Oreochromis niloticus: one gene and its partner. The protein of the gene in region 1 interacts with the protein of each later gene in a biochemical or structural test. Links are inferred from orthologs where the notes say so. Each region holds a gene or a part of one and is shown in the gene's direction. Other genes may lie near its edges.

Evidence for each region.
Region 2: of the proteins of coil (region 1) and vrk1, one has a biochemical effect on the other in vitro, tested with the Homo sapiens proteins (2 studies listed by BioGRID and IntAct, with this or other methods). The link is inferred for Oreochromis niloticus from reciprocal best matches to the Homo sapiens genes COIL and VRK1.

Annotation. Positions count from the first base shown.
Region 1 is NC_031969.2:3,340,587-3,351,732, reverse strand, and holds the start of coil (coilin), read left to right. Parts: upstream 1-6,316; 5' UTR 6,317-6,393; coding exon 6,394-6,644; intron 6,645-8,716; coding exon 8,717-9,707; intron 9,708-9,803; coding exon 9,804-9,893; intron 9,894-11,146. Other genes in the region: scpep1 (retinoid-inducible serine carboxypeptidase), read right to left, coding at 1,587-1,661, 1,794-1,949, 2,094-2,183, 4,326-4,465, 4,668-4,728. UniProt on the Homo sapiens protein: Component of nuclear coiled bodies, also known as Cajal bodies or CBs, which are involved in the modification and assembly of nucleoplasmic snRNPs.
Region 2 is NC_031983.2:1,343,748-1,355,761, forward strand, and holds the start of vrk1 (serine/threonine-protein kinase VRK1), read left to right. Parts: upstream 1-6,096; 5' UTR 6,097-6,246; intron 6,247-6,740; coding exon 6,741-6,900; intron 6,901-7,089; coding exon 7,090-7,145; intron 7,146-8,308; coding exon 8,309-8,378; intron 8,379-8,932; coding exon 8,933-9,020; intron 9,021-9,784; coding exon 9,785-9,893; intron 9,894-10,834; coding exon 10,835-10,927; intron 10,928-11,543; coding exon 11,544-11,676; intron 11,677-12,014. UniProt on the Homo sapiens protein: Serine/threonine kinase involved in the regulation of key cellular processes including the cell cycle, nuclear condensation, transcription regulation, and DNA damage response.

The DNA of each region.
Region 1 (11,146 bases):
ATAACTGCTAGAATTCATATTATCGCAAGAACCAATCAGCTAAGTAAAGAGAAACAGCAGCCCATCATTACTTTAAGAACTGAAGGTCAGTCAGTCCAGAACATTGCTAACTTTGAATGTGTCCCCAAGTGCAGTCGCAAAATCATCAAGTGCTTCGATGAAACTGGCTCACATGAGGACCGTCCCAGGAAAGGACGACCAAGAGTCACCTCTGCTGCTCAGGATAAATTCATCCGAGTCACCAGCCTCAGAAATTGCAAGTTAACAGCACCTCAGATTAGAGCCCAGATAAATGCCACACAGAGTTCCAGTAGCAGACACATCTCTACATCAACTGGTCAGAGGGGACGGCATGAATCAGGCCTTTATGGTCAAATAGCTGCTAAGAAACCACAACTAAGAAAAAGCAACAAGCAGAAGAGATTAGTTTGGGCCAAGAAACACAAGGAATGGACATTAGACCAGTGGAAATCTGTGCTTTGGTCTGATGAGTCCAAATTAGAGATCTTTGGTTCCACCCGCCGTGTCTTTGTGCGACACAGGTGAATGGATGCATTCACAGTGGGAATGCATGGTTCCCACTGTGAAGCACGGAGGAGGAGGTGTGATGGTGTGTGAGTGCTTTGCTGTTGACTCTGATGGGGATCCAGCATGGCTACCACAGCATCCTGCAGCAACATGCCATCTCATCCAGTTTGTGTTTCATTGGACCATCATTTATTTTTCAACAATGACCCCAAACCAACCTCCAGGCTGTGTAAGGGCTATTTGACCAAGAAGGAGAGTGATGGCCTGGCCTCCACAGTCACCTGACCTAAACCCAGTCAAGATGGTTTGGGATGAGATGGATCGCAGAGTGAAGCCAAAAGGACCAAGAAGTGCTCAGCATCTCTGGGAACTCCTTCAAGACTAGTGGAAAACCATTTCAGGCGACTACCTCATGAAGCTCATCTAGAGAATGCCAAGAGTGTGCAAAGCAGTAATCAAAGCAAAGGTTGGCTATTTGGAAGGATCTAAAATATAAAACATGCTTTAAGTTGTTTACTACATAATTCCATATGTGTTCATTCATAGTTTTGATGCCTTCAGTGAGAATCTACAATGTAAACAGTCATGAAAATAAAGAAAAACCATTAAATGAGAAGGTGTCCAAACTTTTGACTGGTGGTATAAATGGGCATCATAATCTGATTTCATACAGCATACCCATCAATTTAACATTGCTAAAGTCAGCTATATTTATAAAGCACATTTCATGTTACTTAACTCAATCAATGTGCTTTAAACAGAAGATAAATCATTAACAGCTCTAAATCTCTCTCTCTCCAAAAATAAAATAAAAAATGTGACCAGCTAAAAAATAAAAACAAACTACAATAAAAGTTATTGCTTAATTCTCTGGAAGAGAAGGCTTTACAAGCTGTCAGACAGTTTTGTTTTTTTTCCTTTAAATGTCACGTTGTCTCTACTTCCCTTTTCTATCACATGACATCTTTAGCACTGGGACTTTTCAATAGCAGTGAGCTCACATTGAACTGAATGCTGTGCCAAGAACAACAGAAACATCCAAAAATAAGTCTCCTCACCTTGGTGAGCTCTAAGGAGATAGCAGCTGCCATCTTCCCTCCATATGACTCAGAGAAAATGTAGAAGGCGATGCTCTGAAAAGAACAGAACAGTACACTTTAGGTCCTTTAATATTAATGTGTTTTGGAGTCACTTCAGTGTTTAGACAACGTTTGATGAGCCCATCTTTCTGACAAACAGGCAAAAAAATGCAATAATGGACATACCTGGAACTCAGGCTTTTCTGAGAAAAAGTGTTTGAGCAGCACCAGCATGTCTGAGGCCACGGTGGACACATTGGTAGCATAGGCACCTGGCCTGTCTGTGTAGCTAAAGCCAGTGCCCACAGGGTTATCTACAAATAACAAATTGGCTGCCTGGACCTAAAGGTGACACACACACACACACACACACACACACACACACACACACACACACACACACACACTACATGTCAGCATGCTAATCTGCATTTTTATTCATTTATACTTTCTTTGAAGAACTCTTCAGTTACAATAAATCTTTACCCAGCTTGTTTTTCTGGGCTCTAGATCTCTGTTCAAGGGTCCAATTTCCTCAAAGTTGCCAAAGCCAGTTCCAGATCCTCCTGGGCCACCCTAAAACACACACACACAGGTAAACATTGTTATATTTGCCATTTAGCTCGGCACAAGCCACATTCGTATTAAATGAGCCATTAAAGTACACGTCTCTATTACTGTTTGTTTGTTTTTGGTGGCAGGGGGTGGGATCAGAAAAATAATGCAATACAATGTCACAAGGTAGAAAGTTTAAAATTAGACCAGAGTTGTTCCTCTTTTGTAGTTAGAAGTAAAAACAACACTGCCATTACTCACTCTTACCACCTCTCCTACAGTCTAAGCACCATTCCATTTTTAACCAAAGGCCTGATCATTTGATCAGACGGGGACACAATCTGTGAACATCACAACTTCCTGCAGACATCACTGTACAGGAAGATGGAATGGTAGCATGATGCTGCACATGTTTGATTGATTGATTGATTGATTGATTGATATACCTTTATTAGTCCCACAAGGGGGAAATTTCATAAGGCTGCCAACCTATTGCACGCAATGGCGGCGCCATCTTACCCTCCGACCATACATACATTACACAAAACATCACATGGGGAAGACAGGTCAGAGAGGTATAACATGGAAAAGCACAACATGAGGAAAGATAAGGAGAAAAAAATAACTCCCCCCAGACTGAGCTCCAACAGGGAGATCAGTTTGGGAACAGAAAAAAACACCTCTGCACATAGCACATGAAAAAACTCTTAATACACCAAAGAAACACATGACAAGCAACAGGGGCGGGTAAAGGGTGAGAGACAGCCGATTTAGACAGTACATCCGGGCCTGCAGCCTATGCGCTGGTCTCCATGATCCACCGTCAGCATCGGAAGGGAATAAGCGTCGAAGGCGTTTGGAAAGGGAGGGGGGATGAGTGTGTGCATATCAGTGTATATGTATGTGTGTGCGTGTCCAGAGTTCAGCTGAGACAGTGTCCTTCGCCCTGCCAGGCTAAGTAAACAGTCTTCCAGCCAACCCAGGTGGCCTTGCATAGAATAGGAAGGAACAGACTAAACACAGTCTGTAATCAGGGTGTTGTTGTACAGCTCCAGCCTTGCAACCGCAGCTGGCGCCGAGAAGGTATCCGCATGAAGTGAAGGTGCTTTTTACTTTAGTGCAAACAGCTTATATGAATTTCAAAGCAGTTCTACAGTCCAACACTGGTCTCTCAATCTCCCGATGGAGAGCCGCGAGCTTCGCGTTCTGTGATGTTGTCATTCTTGTGCTCAAGGAGCCGATTCTGAAAAACTCACGACAGTGTGCCTCCCCGAGATGTCATCCAATTTACGCTCAGAGATGTTATGCCGAGCGAGCCCTTCCGAGATGTAATCCAGTCTGCACTCAGAGATCTTATTCTGAGTATTCACAGCAGCCGTAGCCTTTCCAAGATCTTATCTGTGCTGCACTCAATGAGCCCATTTTGAGAAACTCACGCCTCGTCCCATCGCTTCAATCCCAGCGGGCAGCCTTGTGGAGGTTTGAACAGCCGGTTCCGCTTTGAGAATGCAACCATGCATGTGCTCGATTTGTCACAGCCCTAACTATTCAATCAGTATTTAATACAATGGGCAAGACAGACATTTGATATGGGATGAGAATCACTAAATAAGACATAAATACTTGAAGCATTATTAGTTTTGTGGACTTTTGTTCCCCCTCAGAAACATACAGAGAAGACTGACCCCCACTTTCCAGTCTTACTCCAACTAATAGTTGAAAGCTTGAGTGTCTGGGGATGGATCACTCTCTGTGTCCAGTACAAAAAACTTCTGCATGCTTTAACTTGAATGAACTACAAAAATATATAAGACCCTACAGACCGTGTTCAACAGGTATTATAGGTACAGACTGTAGACAGCCTACTGCCTAAATGAAAAACAACTTTTTAAGCTGTCAGCATAAGGTCGTGGTTGACAATTCGGGGGAAGTTGCAGGCAAAGTTAGTAATTCACAGTTTAAATTCCTATTTAGGCAATTAATTTATTTGTGTAAAAAGAAAATCTCACTGACAATTTATTTGGTCTAAACGTAATCGGACTGATACTAAACAACTAAACACGCGTAAAATATTCGTAAATGGGACGAATCTGGAGTTTGATTAAAATGCTGACATCACTGGAAGCCCAGTTAAGGTGGAAAACAAAAATCATGACGTCCTACCTGCAGCCACATGACCAGAGGCAGGTCCTTGTACTGGGCTTGTACACTGTCAGCATAATAGAGCCACCAGAACATGTGGGCCCCGTCTCTCACCTCCACATAGTTCCAGGCTTCTTTGCTCGCCAGAGCAGAGGGGAGCCCTGCGCAGAATTCAATCACATCCACTTTGTTAACTTGGTGTTCGGTTACAGTGTGACAGTGTTACATCGTCATTCTACTAGAAACAATAAACCAGTCTGTAATGAGCGATCAAAACGTTACTTTCGTTTTGAAGTCAAAGCGAGAGGTAGGAAAACCGAGAAGAAGTCTGTAAGAGCCTCGTCCACAGTGCGGATATCTTACCTTTGGACAGCACAACGCTGAGTAAGAAACACAAAGTAAAGTCTACTCGGAAGGAACCCATCGTTAAAGTGTCTAGCTGCAAAGGGTCCGCATAATTTCAACTGCAACGAGAAGTCACATGACCAAACCCGTGGTCAGCTGACCGACACTTTTTTTTAATATTGCGTCACAAAGTAAAGTTAGAATAACCTCAGAGCACTGGAAAGAGTAAAGTGACTTAAGGGCTCTGAAAAACCTCAATGAACATCAAAAGAAAAGAAGAAAAGACGATGAGTTTGATCTAACATTCATTTCAAATCCCAGAAACATATTTATCCCCAAGGGGCAATTAACAATTAAAACAGGCAGAACACTGACATAAAGCATCAATACAAATGCACACAGTTCAGACAAAGTGAGCACTTCAGTTATAAAAGAAACGGCAAGGAGGCTATTTAATACAGAGGTAGGAAAGGCTCAGAGTTCAGGTGCAGAACTGCTGTAGGGATAAAAGTGACTCTCCTACTCTGTGTCCTACAGAGACATACACGCTGATAATGGTTTGAACCATTTTAGATTTGACTTGTTTCCCCTCATTTTCAATCCAGTTTTTGTGTACTGTGACATACTGCAGCCTTTCCATCCTGTACCCTTCCTTAGGAATGGCTTACAGCGACCTTTTCATTCAGACCATTTCCGACAAGAGTTTGGCAAGAATAGATGGATCAAGGTCTTAATATGTCTATTTTTTATTTTTCCAGGTCTCGCTGGATTTTTCCTATTTCTAGCAGACATGGATTCCAGAAACTGGTCATCTGATGTAGACAGTGTTCTAGGCTTGCCACTTCTTCTTTGGTCCTAATTTTTTTCTTTTTCGTTTTTTAAGGAAAATCTGATAACCATGCTGATATAAGTTGTCTATTATGTGTAGACAGACCAGTGGTTCAACCCGTTAGTTAAGTGCCTTTTTAATGCTTGAATGAGTCATAAAGTCAGTTTTAAGGACTTTAACAAAAAAAAAATCCCAAGAAGAATGAAGATAAGCTTTTATTCAAGTCATTTTTTAGTTACGTTTGAGTTTAGTTTCAATTAACGACAAGAGCCTCTGGTGAATATTTGTCGATCATTTGGCTGCGATGGAGCTCTGTAATAATTCAGTCCTTCCTCCACGCCAGCAGAGGTCAATATTGCAAACGAGGGTCTTGACAGCGCCAAACACGTGCGCCTCACTTCCGTTGAAAACTGATAATTTAAATAAAAGTCATACGAATACGTTTCTTTTCTCAAAAAATCGACCTAAAATAAGGAAATAATAAATACTTTATTTCTCCCATATTTAGGAAATAATTTTACAGCAGGAAATAATTTCACAGCAGTTGAAATAAAATACAATAAAATAATAGTAAAATATACACTCGGTAAATTAGCATTTTATTTAGTGTATTCAGTATGGAAAGCCGAATTGTCATGCTAAGCTGTAATCAATGTTTAATTAAACAAATATTCACCTGTTGTAAAAAAAAAAAAAAGTTTAAAGAATGTCTTTATTTTCTTTATTATGATAAGTTAATATGATATGGGTATAGTTGTCATTAAAAAGTTATTATTACTATAATACTCTTTTCTTTGAATAGGGAAAGGAAATACGTTTGGGTTTGAACTCTTATTTTGAAGAGCCTGGGCGGAAGTGTCGTCTTTGAGCTTGCAGAGGGAGTACGACAGCCGGTGTTTTGGTACTGTAGCCGTCATGGCTGCCCACAGTAATAACTTTATCCGACTGCGCCTGTACTTTGACTACCCGCCGCCGGCTGTCGTCGGTTGCCGCATGTGCTGGCTGCTCGTAGACCTAAACGTGTGTCGCGTGGTGGCCGACCTGGAGAGCGTCATCAGGGAGAAGTTTGAATTCAGCGGCGGGAGCATCCTCAGCCTGTTCATAGAAGACTGCTACCTGCCGCACACGGAGAGCATCTACGTGGTGCGAGACAACGACAGCGTCAGGTGCGCGTGTTTTGTTAGTTGTAACTTTCAAAGCGCTGACAGATCCTGGCATATGTAATACGAGTTATTTAGTTACAGCATGTCTCTAAACACTCAGCTCAGTACCATGTGGACGCTGCTTGGTATTCCCGAAGCCTTCCTCTGGGTGGTATGAACAAAAAACTGGATCATGGCGCGGTATATCATAATTTTTTAGACCCTTTGTCGTCATATAAGTACGGAGCCCCTCTGATGACATGGTCCAAAAAATAAATAAATTGTGGCCACAAAATACTACTTCGTGCCCTCGAAATAGTATAACGTGCCCACGAAATACTTATTTGTGGCCACGAAATACTATTTCGAGGGCACGAAATAGGTATAACGTGCGCACGAAATGCTCATTTGTGGGCACAAATTGGGTATAACATGGCAACGAATTACGCATTTGTGGCAACGAAATAGATAACGTGCGCACATCATATTGATACAACTCCTGGACAGCTGCGTAGAGACATAAGCATAAGAGTAGGCTAAACCTATACACCATGGACAGAGACAGTATGATTGAGTTTTGTTTTAGGCTGGGAATGAGCTACAAATGCATTTTGAAAAGCCTGGCAATGCAAGGAACCATTATTACGGAGAGACATTTAAACAGTATATTGAGAGCCCAGTTGCTTTACAGACGTAAGTACGACCTGGACACCGGGATAGATTTTATTGTCAACCAACTGCAAGGGCCTGGGAAGGATCACGGTTATCGGTCAAGTGTTTCGTGCCCACAAATTAGCATTTCGTGCACACGTTATACCCATTTCGTGCCCACGAAGTAGTGTTTTGTGGCCACAATTTATTTATTTTTTGGACCATGTCATCAGAGGGGCTCCGTATATAAGAGAAACAAGAACGTTAATAAAATTTAACCAAAACATCCTTTCAGTGTTATCTATTCTTAGGCTTTGTTTGCGAAAATGAGATACGCGTATTTGGCACAGGGCAATTGAGTGAAGTGTGGATTTGAAACTTCACGAAGACTTCATTTTTCGAACTTTGTGGCACCACTTATTCTCTTGGCACCCCAGAGTCTTGAGTCTGTACTAATTTGCGCCTAATTTGAAGTATGCACCTATGTAAGATACTTCAAATGACCAACACACCTAAAGTTTGTTAAGTTTAAGTCTTAACATAAGGAACACAATATTTAAATTCACACATATTCATTTTGTTAGTTCAAAAGCTACAACATACAATGCTGTATGCTTTACAACAGTCAGTTTTTCAGTATTCTGCACTGTCGTCTGACAGTGAGACAGTTCTGGGGTTCAGATCTGTGTGGGTTTCCTCTCACAACCCAGAGATCTGCATGTTGGGCGAACTGCTGATTCTAAATCATGTGTAGGTTTAAATGTGCTTTTGTGGTTGCCTGCTGTTTCTCAGTGTTAGCCCTGTGTCATCAAGAGTGTGTCTCAACTTAAGGTTCCAACTTCCTGTAAGGGTTGGATAACTAGGTAAGTAAACAGGTTTGATGTCATTTGTGTCATCTGTCCGTCTGTGAGAAGCAGGGTACACCCTGGATAGTTTGCCAGTGTGTTGCGGGGCTAACACGGTGAGACAGACACGCATTCACACGGACATTCACACCTACAACCAATTTAGAATCAGTGTGGGAGGAGGCTGGAGTACCCAGTGAGAAATGGGCACAGTTAACATACAGAGATACTGAGTCAGGCTCTCTCAAATTAATATATACTCCCACAGTATATATTTGCCTTGAGAGGTGCCTGAATTCTTTGTTCCATAGATTTAACATGGTACTAGAAAGCATCATGCAGTTCCTGCAGATTTCCCACACTACCACACGTCTCAGTCCAATAAGTCACCTTTAAAGGTGACTTATTGGACTGAGATCTTGAGTCTGAGGGTCATTTGAGTGCACTGCCAACTTCATCAAGAACTAACCCAGAGCTTTCAGCAGCATCTCCCAGTCTACAAGAAATTGACCTTTTTTTGTGTGGAGTAAATTTGGCATAATAAATCCATTCGTATAATGTTCAACTCTTCCTTTAAGATATGTTCTGTTTTTGTGTTAGGGTGAAGGTGAGCTGGATGAATGAGTTGAATGGATACAGCAGTCATCCAGATGCAGCAAGTGAAAGCGGCAGAAAGAGACGGCGAGCCACAGAAGACACTGTGCCAGAAGAAAATGGAGTGAGTGTCGAATGGAAGAAGAAAAAGAGGAAGAAAAATAACGAGGACAGAATGACAGACGGTGCCAACCTAGTGGCAAGTGATGACCAGAATAAGAATGTACAAGGAAAACCCACAGAGAAGAAAGAGAAGAAGAAAAAGAAGCCAAAGGAAAAAGGTGCTCTTGCTTCTCCCAAACCAGCTGATTTTCGAAAAAAGGTTACTGCTACCGTCAGCCAGCCGAGTAAAAGCACCAAGAAGCTCCAAGCATCAAAACCAAAACCACAAAAAGCCTCCTCTTCAGATTCCAGTTGTAGCAGCAGTGATGAAGATGTCGTACCCAAAAAAACAACAAAAGCACCCACCTCCACTCCTGCTCCCTCCAAGGTCCCATCAAACACAAAACCTGCCCCCAAAAAACCTCCACTGTCATCGTCATCCTCTTCAGAAACAGAGTCTTCTTCTGATGAGGCTGCCAGTGTCAAAATCCAGCCCAGAAACAAACCTTTAAAATCCACGGCTGCCAACTCAGAATCAAGTCGGTCTCCTTCAGCTCCGCAGCCTACAAACGATAATCCGGAACAAACCGCCAGCATAGCGGAGTCGTCTCATACAGCAGCAAAGGGTGCCAACTCGGACAGTGAAGACGAGATCCAGCTGGTGATACGGAGGCCACTGCAGCAGCCCAGAGGTGGCATAGGTATTCAGTTTCCTTGGCGAGGTGGCTGCAGAGGGAAAGCCAGATGTGGCGGTGGTCAGGGAGCAAGTGTTAGGGGTGGAGGTAGAGGAGGAGCAAGCAGAGGGAACAGTAGCAGCTCTGGGTCCAGCTATAATGGAGCCACAGAGCCGTCTTACCAGAATGATTCACTGACCAACACCTCAGTGATCCTCCAGGTTTGTCTGCATCTGAAGCCTAAGATGTAAATGTAATATCTGCTCTTAATTAAAATGAATTAAAAGCCATTCTTGACTTTCTGTCTCCATTTATAGAATGAAGCAGTAAGTGTACCCAAGCAGGACTACAACTCCATGCCCCTGTTAGCTGCTCCTCCACAGGTGGGGCAGAGGATTGCCTTTAAGGTGGGTGTTGTAAGCTGCAGTCGTCTCCAGGTTAAAAATGAAAGCTATTAGCCCTCATAGTGTTGTTCTAAAGGAGTTTTAGGGCTACACTAAGAAAAAATTACTATTGATGATTTTGAAAATAATCTCATAATTTTTGGGGGGATAATTTTTTGCCTTCTGTAGATGAGTTAGTGAAACAGGCTGATCAGCCGTCTTACAATACAACATACTCCCTCTTTATTGCATGAGGGTGTAGCCATCGATGACCTTGCATCTGTCCGCTGCAAGCCATTTCAGTTTGTACAAATCAGGTCAACTCTTCCAAGTTTGCGTGGCTTTTCCTTCTGATCAGATGCAGCTTTCTGCACCATGTTTTTTCAACATCCTTATCAGCTGTAGTACACTGTTGTAGCTAATATACTGTAGAACACACAAAATTAGCTTAACTTTGGGGCGGGGGAACAGTTATCAAAGATTTTATGTTCAGGTGTAAACTTATGTGAAAAATGAAAATGCTTCACAGACATATAAGCCATGAGTTTATCTTACAGTACAGTATTTTATGTAATGTTTAAATCCACAGTTCTCTAAGCAAATACAGTGTTAGTGAGCCTCTGGGGGTTTTTTTTCTCCCCTGCAACTTTTTAGAGAGAAGTCAAAAAAGCTGCTGTGACTGAATAGCAGTAGTTTGCCCTGCCTAGCTAGAGGCTAGCTCGTTAGCTACAGTGGTTCAAAAGCTAACCACTATGGGTAGTAGTCACTAAGAATTAGGAACCATGTCTTACAAAGATTTTTGTGAACCCATTATTAGCAGCTTTTTATGTTGTTTAAAACTGCTGGAAGCAATTACTGTGTTGCCCATATCTTTGAAGCTGATTGCAGGTCACCTTTGAGTATTTCAGTTGCCTAGGTAACCCACTAATATATTTAAGTAGCTCATATCTCAATCACCAGCGTTTTTTCATAGGTAGTCCTTTAATTGTTCACCTGGAAACAGAGGATTGTTTATCCTGTCCACTTTGCATCACCAGTGGTTATTTTGCCCATAATTGCCTGCAGTTGCTTGTAGCACACACACCTCCCACCTCAGGTCCCAACATGTCTTTTATCCGGGAGCCATGGCTAGATGATGGAGCTCAGGTGTGTGTCAGACTCCACTGACACTGCACCCTGAACCCGCTGCTCCACCCGTCCCCTGCGGCTGAACCACAAACCACACCCTGCCACACTCACATTTTTACAGCTTATTGAAACCAAAGATTTCGGCCATT
Region 2 (12,014 bases), on another chromosome or scaffold:
TCTAGTCTTGTGTTTTTTGTATGACTTTTCCCTGGAACAATCTCTCACAGTCTGTTTTCTAAAACCTAAAAGAGGAATTATGGATTTGATCAACTGGTCTCTGAATGCAATTGACACCCCTTTCTTAACGAGAAGTTTGGGCTTGGGTGAGCCTGACTGCTGAAGATTTCTACCTATTCGGAACCATGATAACAGGGTTCTTGCTGATCGGAGCTGGCTTGGCCCTGGCTTATCGAAGAATTAAGGAAGCGGAACCGGCTGTTCAAACCCCCACAAGGCTGCCCGCTGGGATTGAAATGATGGGACGAGGCGTGAGTTTCTCAAAATGGGCTCATTGAGTGCAGCACGGATAAGATCTTGGAAAGGCTACGGCTGCTGTGAATACTCAGAATAAGATCTCTGAGTGCAGACTGGATTACATCTCGGAAGGGCTCGCTCGGCATAACATCTCTGAGCGTAAATTGGATGACATCTCGGGGAGGCACACTGTCGTGAGTTTTTCAGAATCGGCTCCTTGAGCACAAGAATGACAACCTCACAGAACGCAAGTATGGCGAAGCTCGCGGCTCTCCAACGGGAGATTGAGAGACCAGTGTTGGACTGTAGAACTGCTTTGAAATTCATATGAGTTGTTCGCACTAAAGTAAAAAGCACCTTCACTTCATGCGGATACCTTCTCAGCGCCAGCTGCGGTTGCAAGGCTGGAGCTGTACAACAACACCCTGATTACAGACTATGTTTAGTCTGTTCCTTCCTATCCTATGCAAGGCCACCTGGGTTGGCTGGAAGACTGTTTACTTAGCCTGGCAGGGCGAAGGACACTGTCTCAGCTGAACTCTGGACACGCACACACATACATATACACTGATATGCACACACTCATCCCCCCTCCCTTTCCAAACGCCTTCGACGCTTATTCCCTTCCGATGCTGACGGTGGATCATGGAGACCAGCGCATAGGCTGCAGGCCCGGATGTACTGTCTACATTGGCTGTCTCTCACCCTTTACCCACCCCTGTTGCTTGTCATGTGTTTCTTTGGTGTATTAAGAGTTTTTTCATGTGCAGAGGTGTTTTTTTCTGTTCTCAAACTGATCTCCCTGTTGGAGCTCAGTCTGGGGGGAGTTATTTTTTTCTCCTTATCTTTCCTCATGTTGTGCTTTTCCATGTATACCTCTCTGACCTGTCTTCCCCATGTGATGTTTTGTGTAATGTATGTATGGTCGGAGGGTAAGATGGCGCCGCCATTGCGTGCAATAGGTCGGCAGCCTTATGAAATTTCCCCCTTGTGGGACTAATAAAGGTATATCAATTCAATCAATCAATTCAATTCAATTCAACCCTCGGAGTATGTGGCAGGGACTAAACACAATCGCAGACTTTAGAGGGAAAACCAGCACACCGCAGACCACGGCCTCTCTGTGTGAGGATCTAAACGTATTCTACACTAGATTCAACACAGCGAACACCATGAGACCGGACAGTGTGCGCACCGCGGATGACGTCAGTGCACACACTGTGTCTGAGGAGGATGTGCGGAAGTGCTTCAGGAAGGTGAACGCACGCAAAGCTACTGGTCCGGATGGGATCCCCGGCCGCGTCCTCAAGTCATGCGCGGCTCAGCTGGCTGGAGTGTTTACACACATCTTCAACCTTTCCCTCTCTCTGTCTGTAGTCCCAGCCTGCTTCTAAATGGCCACCATCGTCCCTGTACCCAAATCCTCCACCATCTCATCATTGAACGACTGGCGACTTGTAGCCCTGACCCCCATCGTGAGCAAATGCTTCGAGAAGCTGATCAGGGATTTTGTTTGCTCTTCACTACCCAACTCACTGGACCCTCTACAATTCGCATACCACCACAACAGGTCCACTGATGATGCCATAGCCCTGACACTCCATGCTGCCCTGTCACACCTGGAGAAGAGAGACACGTATGTGAGAATGCTGTTTGTAGATTACAGCTCAGCATTCAACACCATCGTTCCCTCGAAGCTGGACAGGAAACTGCAGGATCTAGGACTGAGCAGCTCCCTCTGCAGCTGGATCCTTAACTTCCTGACTGACAGATGCCAAGTAGTCAGACTGGGCAGCATCACCTCATCCCCCATCACACTGAACACTGGTGCTCCACAGGGGTGTGTACTGAGCCCTCTCCTGTACTCACTCTACACCTACGACTGCACGGCCACTAGAAACTCCAACATCATTGTGAAGTTTGCGGACGACACTACAGTGGTGGGTCTTATCACCAACGGTGATGAGACGGCCTACAGGGAGGAGGTCAGCGCCCTGACCCACTGGTGTCAAGACAACCATCTCACCCTCAACGTCGCAAAGACAAAGGAGTTGATAGTGGACTTCCGGAGGTGCAGAGAAGTACACACCCCCATCACCATCAACGGCGCTGCTGTGGAGAGAGTGAGCAGCTTCCGCTTCCTTGGTGTACATCTGGCTGAGGATCTTACGTGGTCGGTACACACAAACAAAACAGTGAAGAAGGCGCAGCAGCGCCTCTTCTTTCTCAGGAGACTGAAAAGATTCGGCATGAGCCCCCGCATCCTCAGGACCTTCTATCGCTGTGCCATTGAGAGCATCCTCACTGGATGCATCACCACCTGGTACGGCAACAGCACCGCCTACAACCGCAAAGCTCTCCAGAGAGTAGTGCGGTGTGCTGAACGGATAATTGGAGGTGAGCTTCCCTCCCTCCAAGACATCTACAGGAAGCGGTGCCTGAGGAAAGCGGGGAGGATCATCAAGGACTCCAGTCACCCCAGCCATAAACTGTTCAGACTACTTCCATCAGGAAGGAGGTTCTGCAGCATCCGGTCCCGTACCAGCAGACTGAGAGACAGCTTTTTCCACCAGGCCATCAGACTGCTGAACACGTCATAGACACCTCACCCACATTCAACAACATTATGCACTCCATACTGTATATAAATGCCACTTGTTTTGTACATGTCTCAACTACCAACCTCTGTATATTTTATATATTTTATTTTATTGTTTAATCTATTTAATTTGTAAAATATGTATACACACACACACACACACACACACATGTAGAAAAACATATTTAGTATACACATCCAGTAATGGATATACTCTTATATTGTACATATATTTATTACTCTCAGATTTAGCCATTCTTATATTTTGCTTGTTCTTATGTTATTGTATTTTTGCACAACTCTGTTGCTTGTGAAGCTCGCACACAAGAATTTCACTCGCATGTACTGTACCAGTGTACCTGCACATGTGACGTGACAATAAAAGTGATTTGATTTGATTTGACTAGTAGAAAGAACAGTCAGACGAGGCTGCAAGACTAGGCTGACCAACCTGTGCTCTGCCTGGATTGATTACAAGAAGGCCTATGACTCCTCACACCTGGATCCTGGAATGCCTTCATCAGGAACTCAATGGGGATGTGACAACACTTGAGGCCAACTTCAAGCCCATAGCAGTTAGGACTGCTGCACTTCTCCACACAGGGAACTAGCAGCACTAGCAGCAGTAGCTTCTTCAGCCTGTGAGCACTTGTTACTAGTTGTTGCTGTTACTACTGTTGACGATGCAGCAGCCACGACAGATAACAAGTCACTTAATTAGACACATTTTGCTGCATCTTTTTGTAGTTTTGTCTTCTCTCTTAGCTTTTTAGTGCCACCTTTTCATTTTTGTTTGTTCATCTTTATCATCCACTTCTTCCACAGTAAAGTCTGCTATACAGGCACATAATGAAAGTAGGGGAGAGGTATTAAGACTTTTGATTGGGCGATACAGTGTCAGTAATGAAATCAATGAATGCTCTTCTTAACCAAGGAAATATGACTTTTTCCCTTCTGTTTCTCCCAGATGCCTTGCTATGATGAAGCAGTACTGGTGTAGCTGGATGTGTGGGACACAACATTATGGTGCATGGAGACAAAAGCATATATATTTAATCACTTAGGTGTAAATATATACAATCTGAACTATGAACTGCACGGCCTGTGTTTTACTCTAATATATCTGCAGTGCCTATAAACTGGGTGTGGTGAAGATGTTTTCATTATTATAAAGACAAAAAGTGATTTTGCATGACCTTTTACTGACTTAAGCAATCACAAAACTCATGGTTCTACACCTTAGGGAGTTATTGACTGCAAAGTATTACACACAAGCCCTAACATTGAACTGTTGTTGTTTTTTCCAAATACTTTTGAGGATCTGAAAATGCGGTGCTATGTATAAAAATGATGACAACACCTCAACATCAAGGTAAAAGTCTATACTTTACAAAATTAAATAAATTTACAGAATGTGTGTTTTTTTCCAAAAGCCTTCAGACTTAACTAAATGGCACAATAAGACATATTAGTCCATGGTTTGATAATAAAACAATAAGAAATTAATAACACAGCTCTGATAGTTGATCATGTACTGAAGACCTGCCCAATCGAGGATAAGCAGAAGATAATGGATGAATGGATGATGGTTCCACATTTTAAAAAAAAAGGCATTTTCTGTAAATTAACAAAAACTTTCTGCTTTATATTTACAGGACAGTCTGAGCTATCGGATCATATTTATTTATTAGAACTGAACCCACAGGAGTCATGTTGGCAGATTTCTTTCATGTACTGCAGCAGAAATGCAGAACATAGACTTGCTGTTGAAAACTTTTTCTTATATTAAGACATGTTTAAAATATTTTTATATTATATCTTTCATATATTAAGATATCGCAGGGATTAAATGTGTATTTAAACTTCTTTACAATAAACAAAAAGGACAGTTCAACGTGGGCCGTATGTGGCCTACATCGCTGTTCACACAGTAGTGAAGCAGCGACTTCCCCCGCTCCAGGTCATCCGTCGGCTCTTTGTTACTCTTTGTTACTTCGGAAACATGGCTTGAACAATTTCTCTTCCACGACGTAATCCGATAAAAAACAATCTCTTTACCCGTTGGCTTCCCATGGCTGTCATGCGACCGGCTATTGCAGTTAATAATACAACAGCTTCTTGCCATTTTTTGTGTTTTGTGACTGTTTTCATGTGAAAGCCTGCGTGCGCTAGTACCGCTTGCCTAGCATTCCCAGAATCCTTTGCGGTTTCACCCCGGAATGACGTCACATTTTCAATCTCATTGAAAATGTGTTTTCATGTGTTTTCACTGACGTCACATTTTCAATCTCATTGAAAATGTGTTTTCATGTGTTTTCACTGACGTCACATTTTCAATCTCATTGAAAATGTGTTTTCATGTGTTTTGCACCCTCTATCACCCTGGGTCAGACCGAGTTTAAAGCTGCTACCACAGCCAGATTTGATCGGTTAAGAGAGAGAGCGATATCAAAACAGCCACGAAACGTCCCGCATATATGTGCCCAAGGGTTGTATTGAAGCAATCAAGTGATGAATAACTGTTTTCCAGTATGTTGTTTTGCATTGTTGTTTTTCACCGAAACAGCTAATAAAGCATGATGGATTTTTACAATTTTGCCTCCTTCTTGTAAGATTCTATAATAGAATGAAACAATAATGCCAGTTAGAAATAAAGACAATAAATTGAATGAATTACGAAACACTCATGTTATTTCTATTAGATCTGAAAATGTTGTGTAATACTACAACCTGAAACAACAAATAGATGCGTTTGCCTGTACAGGAGATAAAGGAAAAGAATGTAACAACAGCTGTGAAATGGAATAGTCCAAATCACCAAAGTAAACTGGACCTGGGCTTGTTGCAGGGATCTGAGTTACTAAACATCATGTGAGTGTCTGCACTCACACTTAGGACCATATAATAATAAATATGTGCGTGATGAAAGTTGGGCAGCACGCTGACGTCCTTACTCCGCTCTGTATGCTGGTACGGGTCTGACCCTTTCACTCCTTTGATTTTTTCCTCGTCCTTTTTTTTGTTGTTGTCTTTTCGTCAAGTCTGTCTTTGTACGGACCTGCCGTGTTCTCCCTCGTTTTGTACATAACTGTTTTTGGGGCAAATAAAATGCTAGTAGGGATTAAAACCGCAGAATTAATGATTACCGGTGCTGGAAATGCTACCGCTTGATGCAGTGTTTTGATTTTGTTGCCACGGGTACCCAACATGCAATGCGCGAAAGTCACGTGGTCTGTCAATCTCTATAAAATAGCGCGGTACGGTGACGTAACTTCCTGACCGGTAGTTTTGCGGGAAGTTTGGTCCATGCACAGTTTCTGCTACAGGGAAGCATAAACAACGAAGTGACGGTATGTTTTTGTCATAGATGTATATATCTGTATACTAACGGAACCAATCACAGGTACTCGGGTACAGCGTTTGCTGTTGGACGGCGTCATGTAGCAGATCATGTAGGCGCTAATGTGACACACGGTTACTCACAAAACCACGCAGTTAGCATGAGAGCTAACGAGCCTCGAAAGAACCGCTAAAGGTGCAGGATTCGCACGACGCCATCACTTTACTGTTTCTCTTTCTGTTGGTTTTAACCCACATGCTAACAGGCGGTTCGTGTTAGGGAAGTGTCTCGTATAGGCTGCACACATTAGCAGGTGATGGGGAACTCGGGATGTGGTTAGCTAACTTCGGTACAGATAAAAACATAGTTCTAATGTGACCCAAAAAGTACAATTTTCCATTTCTTGTTGTGTTTACAACGATGTTTAGCTTAGTTTTATTTTGGAGTTCTGCTTCCATCACGATGAAGCAGCACTAACAACCACCGTGGCTGTGTGTGTGTTAGATGCCCCCTAAAGCCAAGGCGGCAGGCAGAGGCAGAGCCCCTGCCAAGAGGAAACTGGCAGAGGAGTTTCCTCCTGGAGAAGTGCTGAAGGACACCATGAAGAAGGAATGGAAGCTGGGGGCTCCGATCGGTCAAGGGGGCTTTGGTGTCATATACTTGGGTAAGAACACAGGATGCTAGTGACACAGTCATGGTAAAATAAAAGACAATGTTATTTGTATTTTAGTTCTAGTTAACATCTGAGTTTGAGTTGCAAACTTTATATTTAATAGAAGTTAATAAAGATTTTAAGCATGTGTCAACCAAATACTGTAAATAATGAACATATTCCCTCTTATGTTTTCCCCAGCGGAGGAAAATTCTGCAAAGCCTGTGGGTGCTGATGCTCGCTATGTCATCAAAGTGGTAGGACTAAGTTTGTTCCAGTCCAGGCATTATTACTCTTTACATACTTTTTTCTTTATTCACAGAAAAGTAGCTACAAAAGCCAACTCAACCTGAAGTACTTTGTATTTTATGACATATCAATTTTTATTCTATAACACTTCCACCTTAGTTAAGCCCATCAAAAGTTAAGACTTAATTGGCAACATAAGTTCATTGGATTAAGTCCAGAAATAATTCACATACTGACAGGACTTGTTTGACTTGCTTTTCTGCTCGAATGTGCAGACTCATCAGGCTCAAAGTCTCTCCCATTTGACTCTCTGAGAATTGTCTGATTTATTTATTTGTTCACTAACTGCAGTGATGCAGCCAGCACAGCATATATATTGAGGCCTTGACCCTGGACCTGTCAGATGGCTCTGTCCAGTTGCTGGTCACTAAAGTCTCACCAGAAGTGATCACAGTGCAAACGTTGCAGCCAATAAGGCACTTTCTGCACTGTGACTGTTTCCCTGTTTCTATTCTTAAGGAGGAGAAACGGGGAGGAAAAGCGTGGGGATGCCACATTACCCAACATCTGAACTGAAAATCAGTGGCAACATTTGAGGGAGCGATGAATCCTAATTTTACGTTTTTTGGTTCAAATCGTTGTCGAGATGTGAGGAGAGACCGGACAGAAAAGCGCCGTCAGATCCACTGTGCTGTAGCCCACTGCAGGCTCACATCTGCACGCTGCAGGTGTTGCTGTTAAAAAGTGACGTGATGGCTGTTGTGGGCCAAATGTAAAGGTCTTCCTATACAGTGTTTATTCTAACTTTAACTCTAATTATTTGTGCTGTCACTGTCTGAAACAAACTGTGGATGGAAGCTATTCAACATTTTTATTGAATATTTTAAATATTTTTATTCAAACTGCAGCACGACCGATTGGTGGGGCTGCCCTGCTCCTAACTGTCAGAGATGTAACAGTCTGTGAACCTGGATTTAAACACACAAACACATAAACACACAACCAGTTTTTGCAGTTTTGTTTGTTTGTTTGTTTGTTTGTTTGTTTTTTAAATGTTTAAACAGAAGAAAATTGTGTTTCGTTTTTTTTCCTGCCTGTTAAGGGTGAAAACAACAACCCAGTGTGCTGTTGTGGGTCTGCAGACCTAATGTACCTGTTGTTCTGTCCACAGGAGCCTATTGACAATGGACCGCTTTTCTGCGAGCTCGCATTTTACATGAGAGCTGCCAAGCCGGATCTCAGTGAGTCACATGATCAGACACTATAAATACACTCATACTGTCAGCAAACCAAAGTTAGCCCTGCGATCATAACACAAGAGTCTCACCAGCAGGGCAAACAAATAAAAAGAGAGGCAAGTTTCTTAATTAAAAGATGGTGTTGTAGCCGGGGCTCAGAGGAGCCCTACAAAGGAAAGGAAGCGTTTGGTGGCAGCGCCGCCGGCCCTCGGGCCACCGCTTTGCATTTTATATAATAACAATCCAAATGTCAGTCTCCCCTGACGATTAACTGTTATATGACTAAGGAACCAAAGCCTCATATTTTATTCATGCTGGAGTCTCACGTTGTTGGTAAATATTTGTCCCAGCAGCAGATTAGCTCGCGGCCATATTGGCCACTTTCCCCCACTGAATTATACTCTTATTACTTTGAGTCTCACATCCATCACCCACTTAAACCAGCACCAGGCTTTTCAGAGTTTACTTCCTGTGTTGTTGATTTCATGTATGCACACATTAAAAGCTCACTTTAGTCAAATATGTACGTGTCTGATAAGTTTACTCTTGCCCTGCAGTTCAGAGTTGGATGAAGTCCAAGAAGCTGAAAAACCTGGGCGTGCCCCGGTACTGGGGCTCAGGTCGACATGAGAGAGGGGGTCAAAGGTAAGGGTGGGAGTGCTGGGGACAAATCTCAGTTTGTAATGATGCAGCCCATCTCTCCTCCATCTATGTGACATTCAGTTGTTCAGGTTCTTCTTTTGTTGACATGTGAGAAATGTGTTCAAACTACAGACTCAGCAGTTATATTTGGTGCAAGCAGCTCGAGCTGTGCATCAACTCTGTGTTTGACCTTTCCTCCATGATGTTTGCATGTTGCACATTGGATGGAGTCACATGGCTACACACGCAGTTTTAAAGGAGAGGTGGGCATGATTACGCTGATTAGAGCTTCTGTTTTCCCTGCCCAGCTCAGGTCTCTGCCTTTTATAACAGACCTCACTCTGACTCATTCAGTGGATTACTTTGGCACTGCCTGATACCATGTAGTGGTTCTCAGTAGTAGCACTTATTACTGGTTTCATAAGGGAGCCCCCCCCCCCCCCCCCCCGTGGCCTAATAAGGCATCAGCTTTGGTCCCGCCTGGGTCACATAGTTAGCGCTATCGTCAGCCCTTCCATCACACCTCCTGACTTCCTCTGTGCACTTATGTAACTCAGATATTTAAGCTAATCTCCCTGTTTACACCTTTTACAACTAACTTTTTAATATTTTATTAATTTTTTTTGTGTGTTAATGTCTTAATGGAAGCTAGATAAACCAAAACACCAAATAAGAAGTAAAGTGAAACAGCTTTGTTGTCCTCACAGTAACAGGTAAAGCTGCAGCCTTTCTGACGCTCTGCTAACACAGCTCTCTGTACCAACCAGTTACAGGTTCATGGTCATCGACAGACTTGGCACAGACCTGCAGAAGAAATTTGAGGAATGTGGAAGGAGATTTCCCAGAAAGCTGGTCCTGCAGCTCGGCCTTCGACTGGTTGGTTATGTCATGATGAAGTTGTTTCAGTTTGAAACACTTACATTGTAAACAGCAGGTCACGGTGATCACAGGAAAGAGAATGTGTGATGGGGAATGACCAACATCCTGAGGATGAACGTTGTACGCAAACTGAAAATAACTGATGATGAGGATTGAATAACAAGTGGTTTCATCCTCAGAGTTAGTGATGCACAGGGGAGGAAATGGGTTTTCCCAAAAAGAAACAAAAGTGTATTTTCAGTTGTTTTAATGATTGTGGGTCAGAAGCATTCTCCGGTTCATCCTGGAATGATTGTTTCTGCTCAGGTAGAGTTTTAAAGTAAGCTGCTGAAACTGTGTGTGTAATCTGACACCGCTTTACGGAAAAGCGAACGTCATCAGCAGATTTCCTGCACCTGTGCTTCCGATCGAAAATCCTTTGTTTGCCTGAAAATGCCAACAATGAAGTAATTTGTTTACACAGTCCAGTAAGATTTGTCACAATGACACTGGATAGACTGTAAAATAGCCTTTTACTATGACTTTTTCTTGTTAGAAATCCCACGCTGCCTCTTCTTTTATAGGAGCGCGTCTCCCTGTTCGCTCTAGTTTATTAAGATCTATGTGGAGGAAGTGAAACTTTGTTTCTGGTCAGACTCACCTCTGTGCTCTCTGGTGCTCAGCCTGGCTACATTCCCCTCTAAAAATGACAAATGTTTATGTTCTGAAACTGAACGTAATGAATCAAGTTACTGTTAATAAAATCCTTCTAATGTGATCACAGGTTTGGCTTTACGTGACTGCTGCTCAGTGAGGTGATGACGGGCTGAGCAGCTTCTTGTGTGGCCAAACGGCACATTATATTTAAACCATCTAGTGTGATTACTTTGTACTAGGGTCTTGCTACATTACAGATGTATCTGTACTCTGTATTTGATGGAGTATTTGTTTCTGTGCAGCTGGATACTCTGGAGTACATCCACGAGCACGAGTACGTGCACGCTGATGTGAAGGCGTCTAACCTCATGTTGAGTCACAGCGATCCTAACCAGGTCAGTTGGAGTTGTAGCGTGCTGACTGAAACTATGACTGTTTACAAAGTGCCGCTGTGACCCGTGCATCAGCAGGAGGAGGAGCCTGGTTTTGGTTGGAACACACTCGCACCGCTTCATTAGATTCAATTAGGCTTTTGCGACGGGGGGAGGTGAAGCGAGAGTGTTCAGACGGGGGAGATTAGATGGCAGGAGCACAGAGCTGCAAATAAGGTGGGGGCAGGGGCAAATATTTAATTTGGAGATTAATAATGTATCATCGGTGGTGTTATTAAGGAGCTTTTTATAAATGACAATTTAGAAATCAGCCCCTCAGGATTTTAATATTGGCTCTGGTTGTTTTTCCTGCTCTTCCTCGGAGTTGGTGAATGTAGGTTTGCTTTTATTGCTCTACATTTCTTTATTAAAGCCACAGAGAATATAAGCACAATGCAAACTGAGGAATAATAATAAAGTGCTATGGAGCTGGAATTAGAATTGAAATCGTGTGTTCTCCTGCTCTCCTTCATCCTGACCCGTGTCTGTGTACAGTCAGTGAACACTGGTAAAACATGGATTAGTATAAAGTACTGTGTATGTGTGTGCATGCCTGAATCTTTGTGTTTGTCAACTGTAGGTTTACTTAGTAGATTATGGACTGGCCTATAGGTACGCACCTGAAGGTCGGCCCAAGGAGTACAAGGAAGACCCCAAGAAATGTCACGATGGTACCATCGAGTTCACAAGCATCGACTGCCACAAAGGAGCATGTAGGTGCAAACGTACGCGAGTAGTCATGACGCCCAACATGGCGTACAAAACCAGAGTGGTAATCTGAAAGTGTCAGCAGGATCTGGTGTTTTTAACCATGAACAGGAACATCAATGTGAACAGATTTCAAACCATTTTAGTGAGGACAGTTTGGAACAGCTGCGCTGTTTCCTGTACAGTCAGAGCACTTTAACACGGCAGTGGGCTGGGACTGACTTGCCTTTGGGGCCACAGTCGTAGTACTGAGTCTACTGTGTGTTCAGCCACAGACGTTGTTACTCAAGCTAAAGTATGCCAAAGAACAAGACTGATACTGATTGATATTCCTCATCTCATA